4 linked regions of the Oryctolagus cuniculus genome follow. The protein of the gene in region 2 binds, or shares a complex with, the protein of the main gene of each other region. Links are inferred from orthologs where the notes say so. Each region holds a gene or a part of one and is shown on either strand. Other genes may lie near its edges. The genes, in order: RAMP2, CALCR, RAMP1 and GNB1.

The links.
Region 1: the proteins of CALCR (region 2) and RAMP2 are in contact, whole or in part, in a cryo-EM structure (PDB 7TYX), measured with the Homo sapiens proteins. The link is inferred for Oryctolagus cuniculus from reciprocal best matches to the Homo sapiens genes CALCR and RAMP2. Residues at the interface, in NP_001158210.1 of Homo sapiens: Arg45, Lys46, Met48, Met49, Asp50, Gln52, Tyr53, Lys54, Tyr56, Asp57, Met59, Gln60, Trp76, Gly78, Arg126, Phe235, Leu238, Ile242, Thr246, Val250, Glu255, Lys256, Gln257, Arg258, Trp261, Tyr262, Leu264, Leu265, Phe269, Pro273; in NP_005845.2 of Homo sapiens: Trp86, Tyr93, Ser94, Arg97, Asp98, Glu101, Leu109, Pro112, Glu117, Ile120, Phe121, His124, Phe128, Cys131, Pro136, Phe138, Ser139, Asp140, Pro141, Leu146, Met149, Ile150, Pro153, Ile154, Leu156, Ile157, Leu160, Ile161, Leu163, Val164.
Region 3: the proteins of CALCR (region 2) and RAMP1 are in contact, whole or in part, in a cryo-EM structure (PDB 9AUC), measured with the Homo sapiens proteins. The link is inferred for Oryctolagus cuniculus from reciprocal best matches to the Homo sapiens genes CALCR and RAMP1. Residues at the interface, in NP_001158210.1 of Homo sapiens: Arg45, Lys46, Met49, Asp50, Gln52, Tyr53, Tyr56, Asp57, Met59, Gln60, Gln61, Thr75, Trp76, Asp77, Gly78, Asn124, Arg126, Phe235, Leu238, Ile242, Thr246, Val250, Ala251, Gln257, Arg258, Trp261, Tyr262, Leu265, Phe269, Ile276; in NP_005846.1 of Homo sapiens: Trp59, Ile63, Tyr66, Arg67, Ala70, Asp71, Phe83, Trp84, Pro85, Val89, Asp90, Phe93, Leu94, His97, Gly98, Phe101, Ser103, Arg109, Ala110, Val111, Arg112, Asp113, Pro114, Ile118, Leu119, Phe122, Ile123, Pro126, Ile127, Val129.
Region 4: the proteins of CALCR (region 2) and GNB1 are in contact, whole or in part, in a cryo-EM structure (PDB 8F0K), measured with the Homo sapiens proteins. The link is inferred for Oryctolagus cuniculus from reciprocal best matches to the Homo sapiens genes CALCR and GNB1. Residues at the interface, in NP_001158210.1 of Homo sapiens: Arg174, Ser175, Arg404, Gln408; in NP_001269468.1 of Homo sapiens: Thr47, Arg52, Phe292, Ala309, Gly310, His311, Asp312, Trp339.

Annotation. Positions count from the first base shown.
Region 1 is NC_091448.1:20,144,799-20,149,705, reverse strand, and holds RAMP2 (receptor activity-modifying protein 2), read left to right. Parts: upstream 1-1,907; 5' UTR 1,908-2,012; coding exon 2,013-2,115; intron 2,116-2,578; coding exon 2,579-2,644; intron 2,645-3,013; coding exon 3,014-3,125; intron 3,126-3,230; coding exon 3,231-3,486; 3' UTR 3,487-3,648; downstream 3,649-4,907. UniProt on the Homo sapiens protein: Accessory protein that interacts with and modulates the function of G-protein coupled receptors including calcitonin gene-related peptide type 1 receptor (CALCRL) and calcitonin receptor (CALCR). Required for the transport of CALCRL to the plasma membrane.
Region 2 is NC_091447.1:42,220,615-42,226,097, forward strand, and holds the start of CALCR (calcitonin receptor), read left to right. Parts: upstream 1-2,196; 5' UTR 2,197-2,278; intron 2,279-2,459; 5' UTR 2,460-2,654; intron 2,655-5,483. UniProt on the Homo sapiens protein: G protein-coupled receptor activated by ligand peptides amylin (IAPP), calcitonin (CT/CALCA) and calcitonin gene-related peptide type 1 (CGRP1/CALCA).
Region 3 is NC_091434.1:2,452,112-2,457,756, reverse strand, and holds the start of RAMP1 (receptor activity-modifying protein 1), read left to right. Parts: upstream 1-1,902; 5' UTR 1,903-2,331; coding exon 2,332-2,383; intron 2,384-5,645. UniProt on the Homo sapiens protein: Accessory protein that interacts with and modulates the function of G-protein coupled receptors including calcitonin gene-related peptide type 1 receptor (CALCRL) and calcitonin receptor (CALCR). Required for the transport of CALCRL to the plasma membrane.
Region 4 is NC_091438.1:163,949,393-163,954,280, forward strand, and holds part of GNB1 (guanine nucleotide-binding protein G(I)/G(S)/G(T) subunit beta-1), read left to right. Parts: intron 1-2,169; coding exon 2,170-2,208; intron 2,209-3,922; coding exon 3,923-4,029; intron 4,030-4,888. UniProt on the Homo sapiens protein: Guanine nucleotide-binding proteins (G proteins) are involved as a modulator or transducer in various transmembrane signaling systems.

The sequences.
Region 1 (4,907 bases), on a different chromosome or scaffold from region 2:
CAGAGGCAGGAGCTGCCTTCCAAATCCTGCCATCCAGGACACCATCACTGCCCTGCTTAAAGCCCAGTATGCGCTTCAGCCATCTTTCATCAGGACCCCACGCTCAGCTCAATCCTAACCCACAGTGGGGCTGTGGGCTCCTGACCCCGCCCTGCAGAAATGGCTTGTTTTGCTTTCTGCCCCTCCTTGCTGCCTCCTCTTGTCTTATCACCCAGAAGTCCCCTGCTTCCTTCTGGGAAAGGGTGACCCCAGATAGGACAAAAGGGACAGATTTGGTGCCAGCCTGGGAGTGACATCGAGGCTGCACCATTGCAAAAATGACTCTTGCCGGGAGTGCTTTGGGCCACCTCCTCTGTCCCATTGTGTCCCTTGCTAACTTAGCTTTTTTTTTTTTTTTTTTTTTAATTAGACAGGCAGAGTTATAGACAGTGAGAGACAGTTCACCCCCCAAATGGCCACTGAGGCCGGCACTGTGCCAATCCAAAGCCAGGAGCCAGGTGCTTCCTCCTGGTTTCCTGTGCGGGTGCAGGGGCCCAAGCACTTGGGTCATCCTCCACTGCACTCCTGGGCCACAGCAGAAAGCCGGACTAGAAGAGGAGCAGATGGGACTAGAACCTGGCGCCCATATGGGATGCCGGCGCCAGCCCTGCTAACTTAACGTCTTAATTCTAGCTGTAAAAGAAAACTTTAGATTATCTATGGCCATGATCCCCAAAGCCTGGGATCCCGAAATGAGGATTTTAAGAGGGATCATGAAAGAGAAATTGTGGTGGGCAGGAATCAGTAAACTGGGACAACAGCAGCCACTGGTTCCAAGGGTCAGCGTCTGGGAGTAATTAGAAAAGTTTGGTGCCGACAGCTGTGCGTCTGGGAGTGGAACCTCATGGCCAAACCAGCTCCTGAGCTCGTCGGCTGCCCCAGGCTAATGAAGTCCGGTTCCAGGACACAGGGGCGGCTGTGATGTGGCAGCAGTGAGGGCGCCTGGGGTCCAGGCGCAGCCTTGCTGTGGACCAGCAGTGGCCTTAGGCCGGGCACCAAGGACACACATCTGTCCACACCACAGCGGAGGAAGGGACTGCCCCCATTTCTCACAGGAGACCACAGAGCGAAATGTGTCCTTCGAGGCCATATAGCTGGGGAGTAGGAAGACAGAATAAGGACCCCAGAGCCTCTGGATTCAAGTCCTGGGTTCTTTCCCTGTACGATGGTGATAAGAATGGACACGCTTGGTACATGACATCACCCACGGGAAGTTCTGAACGTCTCCCCTCTTCCCTACGACCTGGGTCTGGAGGGCTGCGGGCACCTTCTTTCTGGGGAGGTACTCGCCCCCGCCCCCACCGTCAGATTTGGGGATCTAGGACCCAGCAAATGCTTCCAAGGAAGGCACCAGACTTGGATTTCCCCTCTCGCGTGCACTCCCCTGGCCCTGTCTCCTCCCCGGTCTGGCGGACGGGCTGACATCAGCGGGTGGGAGTTTCCAGGGCAGAGGAACTCTGAGCTGCAGGGCTTAGCTCCAGGTGCCCCTTCCCCCACGGCCCACAGCAGCCCCAGTCCCAGTCCCAAGGCGGCTCCGCGAGGCCCTTGCAGCTCCCAGACCCTCCCTCTTCCCAGACGACCCCACCGCCTGCCCCCGAAGAGAGCCGGAGACCAGGGCCCAGGAGCCCCTGCCAGTAGACCCCGGCGAGTCCCCGGCGCCTCGCAGCTGAGCCCGAGCACCGGATCTCGGGCGTGGGGTTACGAGGGGAGCTGTCCAGCCCCGCGGGGTGAGCGGGAGGGAGCGTGGGCCAACACGGGCGAGGAGGAGGGAGCCGCGGGCTCCCGGCGCGGGTGCGGCAGCGACTCCCCCTGCAGCCCGCGGGCCCCGGGCGTCGCCTCCGCCCCCCACGTGGCCGCAGCCGTCCCAGCCCCTCCGAGGAAGCGGCGCGGCTTCCTGCGGCTCGGGCCGGGGATATAGGCGCCCCCGCCCGGGCCCGGCTCAACGCCGCCGCCCCTCCTCGCCTCGCCGCGCGATGGCCTCGCTCCGCGCGGAGCGCGCAGCTGGCGGCCCGCGACTCCCTGCGACCCGCGCCGGGCGGCCCGCGGCGCTCCGCCTCCTCCTCTTGCTGCTGGGCGGTGAGCGCGGCGCCCCGGGGCCCCGCGGGAGGCGCGGAAGGCTAGGGAGGGGAGGGGGCTGGACGGCCGAGGCGGACGCGAGCTCTGCGGGGTGAGCAGTGCGTCCTGCGGACGGTCCCCGGCCCCACCTCGGGGCGGCCACAGCACGAACTCTGCTCCTTGCTCGGGGAAAGCCGGGGTGAGGGCAGGGGCCCGCGGACACAGTCCTGGAGGGCTGGGCTGGTGAGGGGGGTGTGCGTACGCGCGCCTGGGCCTGGTTGTGCGTGGGCAGGAGCTCGTGCCACCCCTCCTTTCCAGGCGCGGAGGCATCCCGCGGGGGCATCCCTCGGATGCACAGACGGCTCCTCTTTCTCTTAAACCGGCGCCTGGATCTCCAGGGGTCGCAGCCTACATGCCCCTCCCCCGCAGGCGCCACTGCCTGCTTCACCACCTCTCCACCCTCCTCTCCCGCTTCTTCCCACAGCTGTCCTTAAACCCCAGGAGTCCCTGGCCCAGACTCTTCCCACCCCGGGCAGCTTGGAGCCAGAAGGTGGGTGCCCAGGGGCTGTGGGAGGGAGGCCTAGGGCCGGGAGGAGAGCCAGGTCAGTGCCTTTCCCATAGGCACCCCCCAGCCCCCTGCTGCCCCACTCTGCTGCCGGCTGGGCCCCCGTCACAGGTGGGTGGGAAGAGCCCAGGAAAAGGTGCACGTGGAGATTGTCAGGCTTCGATGAGAAGTGCTGCCCAGATGGAAGGCACCAGATTGCTCAGGCAGGCCGCTCTGCGAGGGGAACTGGCAGAGGGGTTCCCACGTCTGAAAACAAGGGTCGTGGGTTCCACCTAGACAGTCCCTGGGCCAGAGGGTGTGTGGGGGTCAGAGGGGTGGCAGGCCATGGTCACTGAGCAGCGTCTGTCCCCACAGGGAGGACGGGGGAGGAGAACTACGAGACAAACGTCCTACTTTGTTGGAACGACTATAAGGTTTACATGGACTCTATCGAAAAGGATTGGTGCGATTGGGCCGTGATTAGCAGGTAGGGGCCCTCCTGGAGGGCGGCCCAGGCGCGCGGGGGTGGGGGGTTGGACTTTGCTGCTGGGTGGGCCTGCCTCTCCTTCACGCAAGCCCTCCCTGCCCCCAGGCCTTACAGCGAGCTGCGAGACTGCTTGGAGCAGAACGCCGAGGAGTTCGGCCTGGGCTTCCCCAACCCCTGGGCAGAGAGGATCATCTTCGAGACTCACCAGATCCACTTCGCCAACTGCTCCCTGGTGCAGCCCACCTTCTCCGACCCCCCGGAGGACGTGCTGTTGGCCATGATCATAGCTCCCATCTGCCTCATCCCCTTCCTCGTCACGCTGGTGGTGTGGAGGAGTAAAGACAGCGAGGCCCAGGGCTAGGGTGGCACAGCCTTCCCCATGCCCTGCCAGCTCTCGCCCTCTCCCCCCCTCCCCACCCTCTTCCCTCGGTCCCAGCCCCTGCAGGTCCCCGGTAGATGGAGATGGAAGTCGGGTGGGGCCATGGCACAAGTTCTGAATCTAAATAAAAACTTCTTTTGGGTACAATGTCCCCCTTCCCATCCTAGCGGGGCCTGTTCGCTTCCCGGAGCCTCTGCCACCCCCACAGCAGGCCGCAGAACTGGGCGAGTCGGAGGGCTTCATGGCTCTGTTCACCCCCCCATCCCGCCCCCACCCTGGATGAACGCCCTGCCCCATACTCCTTCCTCCCAGGGCAAGGCCTTTCCTGCCTCGCTCCAAACCCAGCACCAGGAAACAAGCAGGAAAAGACTCCCTTCCGGTCTGCACGGCAGCGGGGGGCGATGCAGGAGGAGGGGCAAGGGAGAAATCTGCCATGACTCCTGCAGCCAGGGAGGCAGCCCCCCACCCCGGGCGGTCCTGACTCGTCCCTGCATGCCTGTTTATTCTGAAGGCTTGGGAAGAGGAACCCGGACCTAAGCACCAGGAATCTATCGCTGAGACCTCAGAACGGAGGGCAGAGGCAGTGGGGACGTCCTCGGCAGGGTCCACCCCTTCCCACTAGGTCCCTGGCCCTCATCCTACATTGTCCTGGATGGGGTGTGGCCTACATGGTGGCCACACACTGCCCCCTGGTGTCCACTAAAGCCAAGACTCAAAAGATGTGTGTGACCTGGAAGCAGCTCAGGGCTGAGGCCGCCGGGCCCTGGGTCAGAGAACTATTTGTTCTCTCCATAGCATCCTCTGGTTCTCCCCCACCCTGTGTGTGGGCCTCTGAGACATCCCAATCAACCCTCTGACCTCTCTGCAACTCCCGGCTTCTGCACATGCACACCAGGTTCTCGGGGGAACCTTCACCTCCAGCCCTCCCTGGGACGCACCTGTCAGGCCACCAACAGCATCTGCAACAGCTTCATTCTCCATGGAGAATTGCTCCTTAGTATCGCTGATTCTTTGTGGCATCCCCCGTCTCTGGGATGTGCCTCCTTGCTGAGATATGTGTCCTTGAGTACGTGCGTGTCCATTTCCCGGGGCATGTCTGTCTACGAGTGTCTGCCTCACCAGACACATCTCTTTCTGGGATTGCTAAGGATATTTTCAGTTTTCACTGACAGAATTTTTACTGTATTTCCATGAATGGATCGGTCTCCAGACAGCTGTCCTTTTCTTAAAAAAAAAAAAAATTATTCACTTGAATCTACTTGAAAGTCAGAGTGATGGGCAGGAGGGAGATTGTTCATCCACTGATTCATTCCCCAAATGCCCATAACAGCCAAAGCTGGGGCAGGTCGAGGCCAGGAGCCAGGAACTCCATCCAGGTCTCCCACGTGGGTGGCAGGGGCCCA
Region 2 (5,483 bases):
TCTGGAATTTCCTGCCTACGGAGAACTCTCCGTGCTCCCTCCAAAACTGTCTTGACATAACTAGCATTTTCATCGGTGCAGGTTGCATATGTTTAGGTCACACACAGTTTTGGGCTTTATGATACACGCATGCCCTTTGTAGGCTGTGGGGCTGAGTTGTGGTTAAGCACCGAGACCCTCAGATCTTCAGTAGCAGCTTAGAGCCCTGCTCTCACAACCCTGGCTGTCAATGTCAGGTAGCTAGGATGCCCGAGGATAAGGCTCTTGCAGAAAAATTCCACTGTGCCTGCCCTGCCACGCAGCGCTGAGGGCAGCAGCACCGTCCACTTGGAAGTAATCTTCCTACTTTGATGCTATTTCAGTGACTTGGGCTAGGACAGGGAGAAATTCTCCATGTTTGGCCCCCAGCTGTTGACCAAACAATGTTAATCATTCTCTGCTCTTTGCACCAAAAGAAGGTAATTAATGTTCCCAAAGAGAATGTTTAAAGGAAGGCATGATCAGGTGTTGGCTGGTAGGCAGCAGCTGGGAAGCAGAGAACAAGTGAACCCAGGACAGATGTCAAAGCACAGAGATGTGTTTCTAAATCCTGAATGTGGAGGGTTTCTTCAGATGTTGTTTATGTGGCGCTGTGTGTGTGTGTCTTCGCCAGCCTGCCTCTCTCCCACATTTCTTCCTGTTAACATCATTGCCACTGAAAGCCAGGCAGGCAGGGACTGTACAATCTTTCCCTACAGTGTGGCAGTGCCTCAGGTTTGAATCCTCGCTGAGTCACACGAATCCCTCTGGGTCACCAGGCTGGAGGGGACAGGGAAGGAGGACAAACTCCCGGAATGTCTGCTGGGAGAGCTGATCTGCCTGCGGACTCCGACTCCCACTGGGTCCCCGGAAGACACAAAGAGATTCTTGTGGTCCCTCTGGGGTGGAGAGTGTGGGGTCACAGTAGAAACGGGCAGGCAGCACTGTCACCTTCAGCCACCGCCTTTCCAGGGAGGGGCCCCTGGGCTGGACGGGTGCAGGCTGCAGCCCGGTGCAGGGGACGCCTCCATCTCGCCTGCCAACCGCCCTTTCTGCTTAAGGGAATCTTGGGACCGCTGGGGGAAGCGTGCCGCTCTGCCGTCCGGCTTTCTCCCGCTCCTGTTATGTTGCTGTTAGGATTCCTTTTGCGGAGGGACAGTATTAGCAACCTCGACGGTGCGCAGCCACCTCGCGGGACAAAGAGGATGCGGCTTCCATAGCCCCCAGCACCCCTAGAAAAGAGTTAGGGACGAAGTGCCGGCTGCTGCCTCGCCGCGCCCCGCCGTGGGCTACAGGAGGTGGCGGGCGGCCGGTCCTTGGAGCCAACTTGCCCGGCTGCGCCCTGCCTGGAATCCGATTGTCCCGGGCTCCAGCTGGCATCCAGGACTTAAAGGGGGGAGAGGGGGAGGAGTCGCAGCCCCCGACACCAAGTCCCGCACCCTAGACCCCCAGCTTCCAGCGCCGTCCCCACTGCGCTCACCCACCCCAAGATACGGTGCCCCCCAGTAGCGCCCCAAGCGCAGGGCACTGTTGGCCAAACAACCTGCACCCCAGCCCTCAGCGCCCAAGTCCGGACGCTCTCCCGGGTTTGTCGGACCGCTGCAGCCGCAACTCTGACCTCTCCTGCCCCCAGCTCTCGGCCGGCCATCCTCCCGCGCCCCCACCCCACTTTCTCCAGCGCCCCGGGGCTGTCCCCTGGGTGGCCGCAGACGGAGCCGGGGTGGCACTATCTCCCGGCGGGGGTTGCTTGGCCAACTCACCACCCTCCGAAATTTGCATCCTCCGGGGAGCGGACGGGGCGCCCACAAAGCTGTCTCCAGGGACAAGTTGGAAATCTCCCAGCCCGGACCGCAGTCCCCTTTCGGGCCTCCACGGGGGTCCCTCGCCTGCTAAGAGTGGGTGCGCGCCCCGCTATCGGCCCCAGGACGCGAGGGTGAGCCCCGCCTGGCCCCCGGCCGGGCAGCGGCGGAGCTCAGCCCCATCGCGGGCCGGGGCCGGGGCAGGGGCAGGGGCTGGCGAGGAGGCGCGCAGAGCTCGGCAGCTCGCCCCTCCCTCTCCCGGGCCGGGAGGGACTGAGGGGAGGGGAGAGGCGCGGAGGGGAGGGCCGGGAGGGGCTGGAGGGCCGGGAGGGGCTGGCGCGCCTCGCTGCAGCCGCCGCCGCCTGGGCTGCGTGGGGAGGCGGGCGGGGCGGGCTGCGCTGAAGTCGGGAGAAGTTTGCGCGCAGCTTCAGAGCCCGGCGCGTGCTGCAGGCGCCCGCAAGGTGAGCCCGCTGACTTGGGACCGGAGTCTGCAAGCGCGGGGGAAACCGCCTGGCAGCCTGGATCGCAGCCTGGGCAGGCTCCGCACCATCCCTGCGGGCGGCGTTAAAGGGTCGGGGACTCAGAGCGGGGGCAGGAGAGGGCGAACTCGGACTAACGCAGTTTGCTCTCACGTCAAACTAGGAAAGTCAGCCCCTCGCTCGCTGGCTTGCGGACCTCCGTGGGGAGCAGAGAAGCGCGCAGCAGTGCCTCGCCTCGCCCTGGCGCTGCCGCCGCCTGCCCAGGAGATGGGCGCCCGTGCCTGACTTGCTACCACCACCTGAGAACGCCCTTCGCGTCCCCTGGGTTGTGCCCCGCCGCGCACTGAGAGAATTCCAGGTAAGGAGGGTCTGGAGGGGAGCGCGACTTGGAGCTTTGGGGTGTCCTAGCGGTGGGCGGCCGTGGAGGTGCGAGGCACCTTGCTTTTTTATTGCAAAGCTGCAGTTTGATTGTGGGGCTGGAGGTGAGCGTGGAGGGGTCAGCTTGGTCTCAGTTTGCCTTGATTAAAGGAAAAACAGGTGTCCTGGGAGGGTGTTATGATTTAGCGGTTTGGGATTGAGGGGTCCTCTCAGTTTCTTGGGACTTTTACCACGTTGCTGTCACCAGTTCTCCCTCGAAAGTTGTTATTTTCCAACTTACTGGGTGTGAAAATGACAAGACTTCAAGTTGTAAATTTTCTCCCAGAAAAGCTGTGTGTTCACTAGCACACGGAATCCTGGCATCCGTAACATGTGCCGTGGCGGTCCTGGGTATTGGAAAGGAGTACAGTAGCGAACGGGTTGCTTGTTAGGTCATCTTTTACTGAGAATTACTTTCCAACAATCATTTATGCATAGCAGCCATTCTTCACACCTATTAAGAAAAATATGTTGCGTGCATAGTTTCCAAAGAGTGCTCCTTTTCATGATGCTCTTTCCACGCCGGGTGAAAGACAAGCTCTACAAATTAATCCCTCTGTCCCCAACATTCATTTTCCTTGACGTCCAAGGAAATCCCAATGATTGACAAAAATCAACAATCAGATGAGATTTGTAACCTATCCTACCAGCTTTATTTAGCAAATCTGCCTAAAAAATATTCTATCTGTAAGCTTTTACCCAATGTTAAACGGCGTAAGCTAAATTAGACAGCATGGTTCCACTTGCTAATCTTGGGGAGACCTGACTGCTACCCGGCTGTGGTTACCCTGAACCAAGCCATGGCTTTTTGTTGACATTGTTGGGTGACTGAAAGTAGCATGTTCAAAATCAAGCCAAGTTTGACCATGCTTCTCCTGAATCTCACCTTTCAATAGCAGAGTGCCCAAGTTTAAGTTTGTCTTATGTGATGAAAGAAAGCAAATGTTTTATCCATGTGGACTGTTTGGCTTGCTATTAAGGACATAGTAGGAATGCAACTAGTGTTGTAGGATTTATGAAGCAAACTCTGTAAGAGCCTGTTGCTAGCCCACTGTGTGTTCAGTAAAGAATTCAGCTTTAAAACATTGAAATCACTGGCTTTCTACACTGGTATTGTAAGAACTAACATGACTACATTTGCAAAACCGTTACAGTTGAAGTCAGTATTCTTGGTGGGCACTCATTTCTACTCAGTGTTTTAAAAGAGTTCAAAACATCCATCAGCCAGGATTTGTTTTGTTTCAATGCCTCTAACCTACAGTTAATTTTAGGGATTAAAACCACCAAGAAAAATATTCAGTCATGTTATAAAATGTCCTAAGATTATTTATTGACCACACCAATGACTGAGTGTAGTAAACATGAGATCTTCATTATAACTGATGCGCAAGAGCACATAAATTACCTCAGAGTTGTCTTGCGATGCTCAAATTCACTGATATAAATATGGCTTCTGTTACCTACTTCCTGTGTTTGGGGACTGCAGATAAAATAACGGTGGATGGATAAAGATAGGAATTGCTTTAAACAGTTGAAAAGGAGGACTCAATATTATTGTAGTTGTGCTGTGGCAACTCTGTTGTTGGTGAATGAAAATATTATCTAATGTTGGCTTTTATCTGTGTAAAAGGAACATGAAATTAGGAGTCCAATGATGCTTAGGTTATCACCACCGATAACCTAAACCTGTGATCACAACTTGGGCTGCAAATTAGAGTCAATGAAAGAAATTCCATCCGTAGAAAATTCATAACTGTACCCCCAAACTAGTTAAATCAGAATATCCACGGACAGGGCCTGCAGTTTCACGTATTTCTTTAGGTGATGAAAGTATGTAACCTAGGTTGAGAACCACTGACTGAGATGGTTTCCATGAGATTTGACACCGCCTGTCAATGTTAGGGGGTCTCGGTGAAAACAAATGCCGGTTGTTACATTGCTGGTTTAATCTTTCATTCTTAAAAAATATATATGTGTGTATCTTGATGTGCAATTAGAAGAAAGAGATTTTACTTCTTTTATTGATGTTAGATGTTTAATCCGTAACAGATTCCATGAAAAACATTTTGTTGTTGTTTTTTCCAGCAAACAAGCTATTGAGTTTGAAAATTATCTGGTCATCCAGAAAATGCCTTAATAAATGAACTCTAGCTTTAAAAGAGGCTAAAAAATAATGCTTTATGAAGTGGAATTTGATTTCCTTTTGCTTAAGACCTAGATGTAGCAATGTGGAAACATCCCCTTTGGAAAAGGAAGAAGGGGGAAAATAGTATCATTCTCCTTGAGAAACTAACTTCCATATCCTGATTATGTCCTAGCTTTTCACACACACACACACACACACACAGTTTAACTCACAATGCAATTGTGAGGCAGAAGCAATCATTCTGATTTTCTATATGAAGAAATTGGGGACTCATTAGGTGAATGAATTTGCTCAAAGCTACAAGCCAAAGAAATTAAGGCTGTCTTTGAACCCAGGTTTTCTTATTCCAAGTTCAATTTCCTCGTAAAATATTTTGATGTGCACATTCATATTGTTTAAAATTTAAAGACAGCATTTGTTGTAAAAGCTGCATAAGAGTGCAGATTCTTGCACGACTCTGCTTGGGTTTGATTCCCGGCTCCATCCTTTTCTAGCTGTGTGATTTGGGCAAGCAATTTAACCTTGCCTGCCTTCATTCCCTTTGTAAAATGAGGGTTTCATTGAATGAGTTCATCTTTGTTAAGCATTTGGGTAGGTTCTAGGTAAGTATCATGTGTTTTCTTT
Region 3 (5,645 bases), on a different chromosome or scaffold from region 2:
TACTGTGTGTGTGTAGCCACCACGTGCACGGTGAGCACTGTGTGTGTAGCTACCACGTGCACAGTCAGCACTGTGTGTGTGTAGCCACCATGTGCACAGTGAGACCTGTGTGTGTAGCCACCACGTGCACAGTGAGACACTGTGTGTGTAGCTACCATGTGCACAGTGAGACGCTGTGTGTAGCTACCATGCGCACAGTGAGACGCTGGGCTGTGTGTAGCCACCACGTGCACAGTCAGCACTGTGTGTGTAGCCACCACGTGCACAGTGAGACACTGTGTGTAGCCACCACGTGTGTGTGTAGCCACCATGTGCACAGTCAGCACTGTGTGTGTAGCCACCATGTGCACAGTCAGCACTGTGTGTGTAGCCACCACGTGCACAGTCAGCACTGTGTGTGTAGCCACCACGTGCACAGTCAGCACTGTGTGTGTAGCCACGTGTACAGTGAACACTGTGTAGCTACCACGTGCACAGCCAGCACTGGGCCGTTCTACAGCGGAGCCACTGTTGGCCCTGATGCGCTGTAGGTGGGGGCCCCCGGAGGAATGGATCCCCATGCTTCCAGCTGCCAACCAGAAATAACACACAAATTGAACAGAGTCTCACCGGGTGGGGTCTTCAACTCGGGGTAAACAGTCTGCTCCGCCTTGCCCCTCGGAGCAGCGCAGACCCTCGGTAGTACTGGCTACCTCGTCCCGGGCCGGGCACAGACGTGAAAGGACAGGAAGTGGCGCAGGGCTCTGGGTCACCTCAGCATTCTCCAGAGAGCGTGAGCTTCCAGGCTCCAGCGTGAACCTGACAAGGGAGCCTGGCCCTGTGAGGAGCCCGTGCCTGTCCAGGGGCCCCCACGCCTCCTGCAGTTACCCTTGGAGAAGTTCCTGGGAGGAATCCAGGTGCAGCCGCAGGGCGAGCAGACGGGGCCCAGGGGAGGGGCAGCTGGGTGTGGACGGGGTCTGAGCCAGGACGAGGTCGCCTCCACTCACATCACCTAGCGTAACTCAGGTGGACCTGTCCTCGGGCCACACGGGCCGTGTTCACGCCCTCTGGCCATGGCGTGGTCTCTGGACCCCAGGCCTGTGCTGTAGCCTGTGGTCTCTTCAGGGATTCCCCCCCCCCCAGTCCTCAAGACCAGGGGGTGCAGCTTGTCGCGAACGTGCCTTTGTGTCCTTACTCCACGGCGGAGGGCAGTGCCCCCGTGCTGGACGGTCCCTGCGGCACAGCAGTCCCCCACTGGATGCACCAGCTGAGGATGTGGGCCTACCTGGTGGGATGTGCCCCAGGGCTCAGGCGGAGGGGCTGCTCAGGTCGGGAACGGGTGCCCTCCACCACCGTCGCCCCCAGGAGACTTGGGGCCCCCGGGCACACGCAGGCGTGCCCACCCCCAGGGAGTGCCCGCCCTGCCAACCTGGGCTCAGAGGGGACCGAGGGCCGCCTCGCTGTGCGCTGCTCTGAGCGCCCGGCAGGTGGCAGCAGCCCCTCGGCGGAGGAGCGGGGTCGGTCAGCCATCCCCTGCCCCGCGCCGGCTGACCCACGGAGACGGCGGGCATTGCACTGGAAGCTGTGACATTAACCAGTGGCCGCGAAGGAACGCTAACTCGCTTTCACAGGGTGTTGGGGAAGGAGCCACCGCTAAGCCAGCGGTGAATGCGGGGTTGAGGTCTCCCGCACTGCCCGCCTCTCAGCCCTGCTTGCAAAGGGCTGCGCGGGTGACCGCCACCCGGGTGGGTTCACGCTCGCGCCGGCCACCACCAAGCGAGGCGTTACCTCTCTACTGGAGGCCCTGGTCCCTGCGTCACCCTCAGCGGCAGGTGCAACCCCGGCCCCCCCAGCCCCTTGAAGAGCGCTCCCTGTTCCCTAGGGCCCAGGGCCTCTGCGAGGGCGCGCCCCTCCGCACCCCGCAGCTCCGGCTTCTTGTGCGCGGGGCTCGGCCAGCGCCAAGGCTGCTGCTGCCCCCGGGCGCCCCGTGCCCGCACCTGGAGGGGCAGGGAGCGCCTGACTGCGGGCAAGAGTGACCAGACCCTGCGAGGGGAGGGCGGCGAGGTGCCCGGAGGGTTCTGGAAGCGCACTGCCCCCCGCCCCGCCACCCAGGTTTCCCGATTGTTAATTTGGCGAACTTTTCCGGAAGGCGGCAGCGTTTTCCTGGTTCTGGGCGACTTCCACCCGGCAGGTGCTGCCCGCTCCGGCACCCACCCCGAGTCGGGCCGCGCGGCCGCCGCTCCCGCCCCGCGCTCCCGCCCCCGGCGGCGTCTTCCCGGGGCGGGCGCCGCGGCGGGCTCAGGACTCGGCGGGGCGCGCCGCGGGCGGACTCGGCTCGGCTCGCTGCGCGCCATGGCCCCGGACCTGCGTGGCCTCCCGCAGCGCGGCCTCTGGCTGCTTTTGGGTGAGTAGGGGCCGGGGTCGCGGGCCGGCCCGGCTCCCCCGCGTCGAGGGCGGAGGAGGGGGTCGCACGCCGCGAGCACGCCGGCTCAGGCTCGCGAACGCCGGCCGCCGCCTCGCCACGCGGGGCCCGCGGCGGAGGTCCCCCAAGCCGGGCCGTCCCGGGGTGCGGGGCAAGGAGACGGGCGGGGCAGGCGGCTGGGCAGGGGTCTGCGCCCTCCCGGCGGGGGTGGGGGTGGGGTGGAGGAGGCTGAAGGGCAGCTGCCACTTGGCCCCGCACGCTGGGGAGCGCCCCTGCTCCCCACCCCCACCCTCCGCGCAGGCTCCCTGGGGCTCGGGTGTGAGCACCTTGCAGACTGAGTGAGGGCCACGGCTGTTTGGAAATTAGTAAAAACCGGTCATCTGACTGTCACATGCCGCTGTTTCTGATTTGCTAAGCGGTGTCCCCGCTGAAGCCAGGCCAGCCGCCTGTCCTCTGGAGGCAGAGCCACGACTTGGTGTTCGCTCCCTGACTCGGGCGGAGACCCCCGGTGCGGTGGGGTGGCCGGGCTTGGAGAGGCTGCGGGAACCTGCGGGGATGGGGCGAGGGATCGTCTTCCCTCCGCCGGGTGTCCTGATGCACACATGCAGAGCTCCCAGCTGTTCGAGCTGGTGGATGTGTCCCCTTCCGTGTGTTCCTCTTACGGACTGGACGGCACCGGCTACTCCGTCCAGGGCTCCCTCCCCAGAGCTGTGATGTTGCTGTGGGCGCCTGCTGTGCCGCTGGAGCCTGGCGTGGGAGGAGGGGGCCTGCCCGCCCTGCTCTAGCTGAGCCCCTGGGGGCAGGAGAGGCTGCCCAGGCCAGGAGGAGCCGCCGGCCGTAACCAAAGCCTGCCCCGGCTTCCGTGTGGCCATCTCAACGCCGGCCTTGGCACTTGAGCGCTTCTGCCGAAGTCACAGGAGAAGGAGATCTTGTAGTGATCCCGTCCTCCGTCGGCCTAGACGTGGAGTCGGCCGTTTTAGTGCCCTCGGAAGCCAGCGTAGCTCTGTTAGCAAGGCAGAGAATGAGTTGTGTGGTTTTTACTTAAACGCGTAAATGTCCTTTGCTGGTGTCCGGAGGCGGTGCCCTCTATGGCTGGTACAAAGAAAGCCCTGTGTTGGGATCACACAGACTTTCCCTGGTGACCAGAGAGCGGTTGCGCTCTCCTGCCAGGCCAGAGCCGTCATCGTCACGTCCTGAGTGGCCTGGCCAGTGTCACGTCTCAGAAGAACACACGGAGCTTTGTGAGGTCACCCGTGAACAGATGCACTTGGAACGCGGCTGCACACGCACGCTGTCACCCTCCGGTGCCATAGCACGGCCACATGTCCTTGGAGGTGACCTTGGCTGCCTGGGATGGCGACCCGGCATGGGCCGTGTTGGTCCCCAGCCTTAAGGATTTTATAGCCAAGCTGTTCCTGTCCAGTCTGCTGCCCTTCTGCGTGTCCTCTGTGCCGGGCCCCTCCGTGCTCTGAGAGTCCTGTACACGCGTGTGTTCCTGGAAGGCTGATGGGCTCGTGTGTGGGGAAGACTGTGTGTGACCACCCTGAAGCCATTCCAGGCGGGCTGGGGTCACTCCATCCCGGCCTCGCGTGCGGAGCCTCCCGGACCCTCGGGCGGGGGCCGGGGTTTGTGTGTTTGTGGGTTTTTGGAACGGTTGGGACATTGAAACACACGATCGTGCGACCATGAGGAGAGCTGGAAGTTCCGGGACACCCAGGAGAGGCGGTACGCGACGCCTCCCGTGTCCGGCTGCTCTGCGTCCCGACGCGGTCGCGACCCTGGCGTCCGACCCTGGCGCTTTCTCATTTGCCAGTCAGGTTTGTTTGCCCCTGTGTGTGCAGCTGCAGGGAGAAACTCCCAGAGGTTTGTCTTCTTCCGTGGCTCACGCCAACCAGCATGCGTGTTGTGAGCCTGGACCTGGGGGCGCGCCCCAGTCCCCCGTGTGCACGGTCAGTGGCACCGGTGACACCAGGAGCCAGCGCTCTGGGTGGAATCCTGGCTGTGAGCAGATGGTTGGCCGGGCCTGCTGACTCCCTTCCCCGGAGGGAATGCACCGGTTTCGGGCAGATGCCGGCCAGGGCCACATAGGGCTGGTGCTGGGCCCAGCGCGTGCTGGTGGTCGGCCCTCCCTGCAGTGGCCGCACTGAACACTTCTCTGCTGGGACTCCAGGGAAGTGGTCTCTTCTCCACCGGGCCTGAGGTCTGAGCCCCAGGGGGCCGCCGTTCCTGACCCAGCAACGCTGATGGAGCCGCCCCTACAGGGAGCCCATGGGGGGCGCGTCTCCAATCCCGGGAACCCAGGCTTTAGGGCCTCCTGTCCACCCGGTGCAGGCATGCAAGGCTTGGAGCCCCGGCAAGGGCAGGCGCGGGGGCAGTGGGGACCTGCGGAGGGGGGGGGGGACGCTCTCCAGAAAGCTCAGGGAGGCCCTGCAGAGGAAGGGCCGTGAGAGGGCAGGGGGAGACCAGGCAGAGCCAGGGCAGGGGAGACCAGACAGAGCCAGGCAGGGGGAGACCAGGAGAGCTCGTGCAGGGGGAGACAGGAGAGCCGGGGCAGGGGGAGACCAGGAGGGCCGGGGGCAGGGGGAGACCAGGAGAGCCGGGGCAGGGGGAGACCTGGAGAGCAAGGGCATGCAGAGACCAGGAGAGCCAGTGCAGGGGGAGACCAGGAGAGCGGGGGCACCGGCCCTGTGCCCTGTGCCCCCACGTGGTGCAGAGAAGCTGAGCAGGGACCGGCGAGGGCAGCCTCCACTCTTAGTCTTTAACCACCAATGGTCGTCCATTAACCATTGACAACTGGCCTGAGGCCTACGACCAGTCCCTGAACGCGTGGGCCTTTGGCGTGATGACCCAGACCACAGCAGCCCTCTGCGTGGGAGGGAGCGTGGCAGAGCGTAGAGTGCTGATCCGCGGCTCCTGGCCTCTTCCTGACACGCCACACCCGTGGCTCACACGTGTCATGACCAGCGCAGGACAGCAGCCACGTCAGAGCCAGTCCACGGTGCCCCACTGAGGAAAGCCTGCTCCGGGGAACCATGGACGCTGGCCCAACCATGGTCAGACCTGCTCCAGGTGGGCAGTGGACACAGCGGTCAGACCCACTGCAGAGTAGATACAGCGGTCAGACCTGCTGCAGAGTGGACACAGCGGTCAGACCTGCTGCAGAGTGGGCACAGTGGTCAGACCTGCTCCAGGTGGGCAGTGGGTACAGCGGTCAGACCTGCTCCGGGTGGGCAGTGGGCACAGT
Region 4 (4,888 bases), on a different chromosome or scaffold from region 2:
AGTTTCCCATATGGGTGCTGGTTTGTGTCCCGGTTGCTCCTCTTCCAATCCAGCTCTCTGCTTATGGCTTGGGACAGCAGTGGAAGATGGCCCCCAAGCGCTTGGGCCCCTGCACCCACGTGGGAGACCCAGAAGAAGCTCCTGGCTCCTGGCTTTGGGTTGGCCCAGCTCTGGCCGTTGCGACCATTTGGAGAGTGAACCAGCAGTTGGAAATCTCTCAGTTTCTGTGTCTCTTCCTCTCTCTCTGTAACTTTGCCTTTGGAATAAAATCGATAAATCTTAGGAAAAAAAAAAAAAAAAAGCCGAGCAGCAGAGCTTCCCCACAGGGCTTGGCCAGACTGCGGCTGGGAGCTCCATCTGGGTTTCCCGCGTGGGGGGCAGGGCCCTACGTTCTTGGCGATTGTCTGCCTCCCAGGCGTGCTAGCAGGGAGCTGGTCAGGAGCAGGATATGAGACTTGACCTGGCAGCTGGCTGTGGGACGTGGGCCCACACAGCGTCTGACCCCCGCACCACGACGGGCACCCACTGAGGCAGCCATTTGTGTTGACTCTGAAGGTGCTGTCTTAAACTCTAGTGTGGTTTGGACTTTTTTTTTTTTTTTTTTTTTGACAGGCAGAGTTAGACAGTGAGAGAGAGAGAGAGAGACAGAGAGAAAGGTCTTCCTTCCGTTGGTTCACCCCCTAAATGGCTGCTGTGGCCGGCGCTGCGCCGATCCGAAGCCGGGACCCAGGTGCTTCCTCCTGGTTTCCCATGCGGGTGCAGGGCCCAAACACTTGGGCAACCTCCACTGCCTTCCCGGGCCACAGCAGAGAGCTGGACTGGAAGAGGAGCAACTGGGACAGAATCTGGCGCCCCGACCGGGACTAGAACCCGGGGTGCCGGCGCCGCAGGTGGAGGATTAGCCAAGTGAGCCACAGCGCCGGCCAATAGTTTCTTTATATTATTAATTCACAGATATCCCCACTGGCTTCATAAAATAAAAATTTACAGTAGGGAAGTTTGCCCCTAAAATCGGATCTCCTGGGAACACCCAGCTGCAGTGTCAGCTCACAGCAGCATGGAGACCTGTGTCTTACTGGACATCGCCCTGAGTGCCTCTGAGGGGCTGCCCACACTCCTGTTGTGAGCCTTTAAAGCTGTGTTCTCATTTTACTGCATCTAGTGTACAGAGGTCTTCAGGAAATTCATAGAATATATGTACTATAAAATCACGCCTGGGTTTCAAAATATTGTGCCCAAATTAGCTTATCTTTCAGTTCCATTTTTCTGTTGATTTTTGAAGTTCTCTTTTACATATTGCTTTTTTATTTTTATTTTTTAAGATTTATTTATTTATGTGAAAGGCAGGGTTACAAGAGGCAGAGAGAGAGAGAGAGAGGTCTTCTATCCGCTGATTCACTCCCCAAATGGCTCCAACGGCCGAAGCTGGGCTGATGCAAAGCCAGGAGCCAGGAGCTTCTTCCAGGTCTCCCACATGGGTGCAGGGGCCCAGCAGAGAGCTGGATCGGGAGTGGAACAGCCGAACAGCCAGAACTCAAACCCACGTCTACGTGGGATCTGACACTGCAGGTGGTGGCTTTACCTGCTACACCATAGCGCCAGCTCCCTATATCTCCCTATTTATAAAAATATATGTTCATTTAAGATTCCACACTTGTCTAGTTCCTTGTTCACTTGATGTTAGTGATGGCGTGTCCTTCCGCAGAGTGTACCTGCATTTCGTCGTTTCGTAGATAAGAAAGCAGATAGAGCCAGGAAGAAGTCAGAAGGTTTCATCTGAATCTGCAGTCTGATCAGACGCCTTGCTCTTTTCTGTGAAATTTAAATCCAACAAAGTAATTATTGTCCCGAAGAGATTTTTGGGCTGGTCATTAGGTCCTTGCTGGACCGCTCTCCCTGGGCGCCAGCCTCCCGTCCTCCCTGGGTCAGCTGTGCAGGCGCTGAGCCAGCGTGGTTGCTCAGAAGCGCCGAAGGCCAGGGCAGCCCCGCGCCCAGGGGCCCTGCCCTGGTGCCGTCCCCGTGCCGGGTTCCACGGTCGCTGTGTGTGAGTGGCCGAGTGCGGTGGATGGTGGGTGTTGGGGGGGGGGTGCTTTCCTTCCACAGTGACGCTGTGAGGCCCCAGGTGGCCCCTGCCTGGACACCGCTCACCTCTCTTGTGTTGCTTCCTAGGATGCTAGGAAAGCATGTGCAGATGCAACGCTCTCTCAGGTAAGAGCCGGTGTGAGCCTGGGCCCTCCGCAGTGAGCTCTGCCCGTGCAGCTGCCAGACCACTGCGGGGCACTGTCTTGCGGAGCCGTCCAGACGTGGGAGGAGACAGGGGTTCTGTGTTCGCGTCGTCTCTTCAGCCCGCGTAGTGCTCCCTGCCAGGGCAGAAGACTGCTGTCTCAGTCAGGCGGCGTGTCGCTGCCTTCGTGGCCAGTCGGTCCAAGAACTGGACTCCGCAGGCCGGCCTGACAGCTCCCCAGACACTTGAACGGCAGCTCCATGGCTCCTTGTGTGCCCAAAAGGATCAAAAGCCGGCGTTCAAGCGGGTGTTCAGTAGGATACGCACACCGAAACCCGTGGGTGTCTGAAGCCTCGTGTACACAGACCCTACAGAGGGCATCGCTGCGGACTAATAATGGAATATCATAAAAACAACACTGCAGGAAATCTGTGCATATGATCTGTCTCAAAAAATTAATCTTCCTGTACTCACACTTGTGACAACAACGCCTGTGCGAGGAGATGCAGTGAGGCAGACGACACGGGGCTGGGACGCAGCTTGGGTGACCACAGTGGGCACAGCGCGGTCCCACGGGCCGAGGGCTGACCACACCCCAGACAGGACCAGCAGGCCGGAGTGGATGTCATCCTCCTGCTCAGACGGCTCACAACTTAAACTTAGGAATTGTCCGTATCTGAAATGTCCTATGTAATAGTTTCAGACTGCGATTGACCACAGGAAACTGAGCCATGCATAGCGAAACCAGTTAAAGGAGGATGGCTGTACAGTGTTCATATCGCCGCTCACACAGCCAAGGGAGGAGACCATCCAGCTCTCCATAAGTGGATGAGCGTACAAACGTGTGGTGGTGTGTTTGCACGGTGGGATATTACTCAGCCGTGAAAGGGAATGCAGCCACGTGTAGCTCTGTGTGTATGAAATACCCAGAATGGTTAAGTTAAAGACAGGAGATTGGTGGCTGCAGGGATCGTGGGGGCGAGAGGAGGAGGTGGCCGCTGGGTGGGTGGGGAGGCGAGCAGTGGTGAGGGCTGCACAGCATGCCCTGAGTGGGCACTGTAACAGAGTTTTAAAAAGTTAAAGAATCGGACAGAATAGTGAAAGAAAAGTTAGATTCACCCTCTGCAGGTGACTTGGTTCATGAGGCGATCCAGACACTGAAGGGGATGCGCTGTAAGAAGGAATTCTTGCAGCGTAGAATCACAGCTGTCAGTTCTCGGGCGCACTGTGGACTGTCCATTTTTTAAGACTCATTGTTGGGTGTGCTTTGCCCATTTGCCAACCTGGAGGCATTGCTGTCGGTGTCTGCCCTGTGGGGTGGGTGCTGGCGTGCAGACACCGATGCTGAGTGTTGTCCAGGCCCACACGTGGCCTGAGGTAGGAGCAGAGCACTAGCTGCTGGAGGCTGTGCCCGTGGTGGCCCCGGGCCCTGAGACAGATGGGCGGAGCTGGAGGCTGTGCCCGTGGTGGCCCCGGGCCCTGAGACAGAGGCGGAGCCGGGCTGCCGTGTGTGTGCACGCCAGGGGGACAGGTGTGTCCTCACGCCCCGTGGAAACGGCAGCCCTGTTCAGAGTCCCGAGGGCCCTGGTGCCCCTGAAGAGCTGGAGGATGGCTGGGCCCTGCTGGGTGGGTGAGGAGGAGGGCTCTGGGAAGATCGTGTGGTCACAGATGTTAACCTCAGGAACCTTCGTGTTTAAGATCACAAACAACATCGACCCGGTGGGGAGGATCCAGATGCGCACCAGGAGAACGCTGAGGGGGCACCTGGCGAAGATTTACGCCATGCACTGGGGCACGGACTCCAGGTAGGCACAGGCCACGGCGGCAGCCCGTGCCGGCTACGTCACCGAGGCTCTCTTGTCTGGGAAGGTCGCCCGGACTCATTTGCTGTACTTTGTAGCGAGCAACACGAGGAGGAGGAGTCAGATGAGCAGGCCAGGCGTGGCCTGTGCGCGGGTCTGCGCTCACCTGGCCCACTCCACTCTGCTGTTTCCTCTCCGCTCCAGGCTGGCTTGTGTGGCTCAGGTTCTCCTCCCTGGAAAACCCCACCTTCCCTCCGCCCCGCTGTGCTCTGCCGTGGCCTTGGGAAGTGGCCTTCCTCTGTCCCTGTGTTCTGCACTGCGCGGCCTGTTCTGGTGGCTGCTGGCCCTCCTGTGATTTCAGCGCCTGCTCCGGGCTGCGGGAGGCCCAGAGAGAGAGCCTGAGAGCAGCAGCCTGTGGGGTGGTGCTGTGCCTGGGTTTCTGTGGTTGGGGCCCCCAGCAGGTGCATGGGTGTGTGTGTTTGCTGCGGCCATCACCCCTCACCCGGTCTTTGTGCCTCTCTGTGGTGTGTTCATTGTCCCAGGCACAGCCCCTCGAGGCTCCTGTTCTTCCTCTTCCTGGGATTCTTAACCTCCCGTCCACTCCCCTGTCCCCTGCTCACCCTCTGCTCTGCCTCCACCCTGCCTCTGCCCACACCTGCCTTGGGCTGTGTGCCTTCCCTGTGGGCCACATCTGTTAAGCTCTCTTTTCCTGTTGTTTTAGAGGTTCCCAAGTCCATCTCGTACGTTTTCTTCCCAAATAAAGAAGGTGCTTTTGATTTGTGGACTGTAGCCTGCTCTTCGAAGTCTGACATGCGATTCTTGACATGCCTGCCTTTGAGAAGCAGCTTTTTCCTCCTTGAGT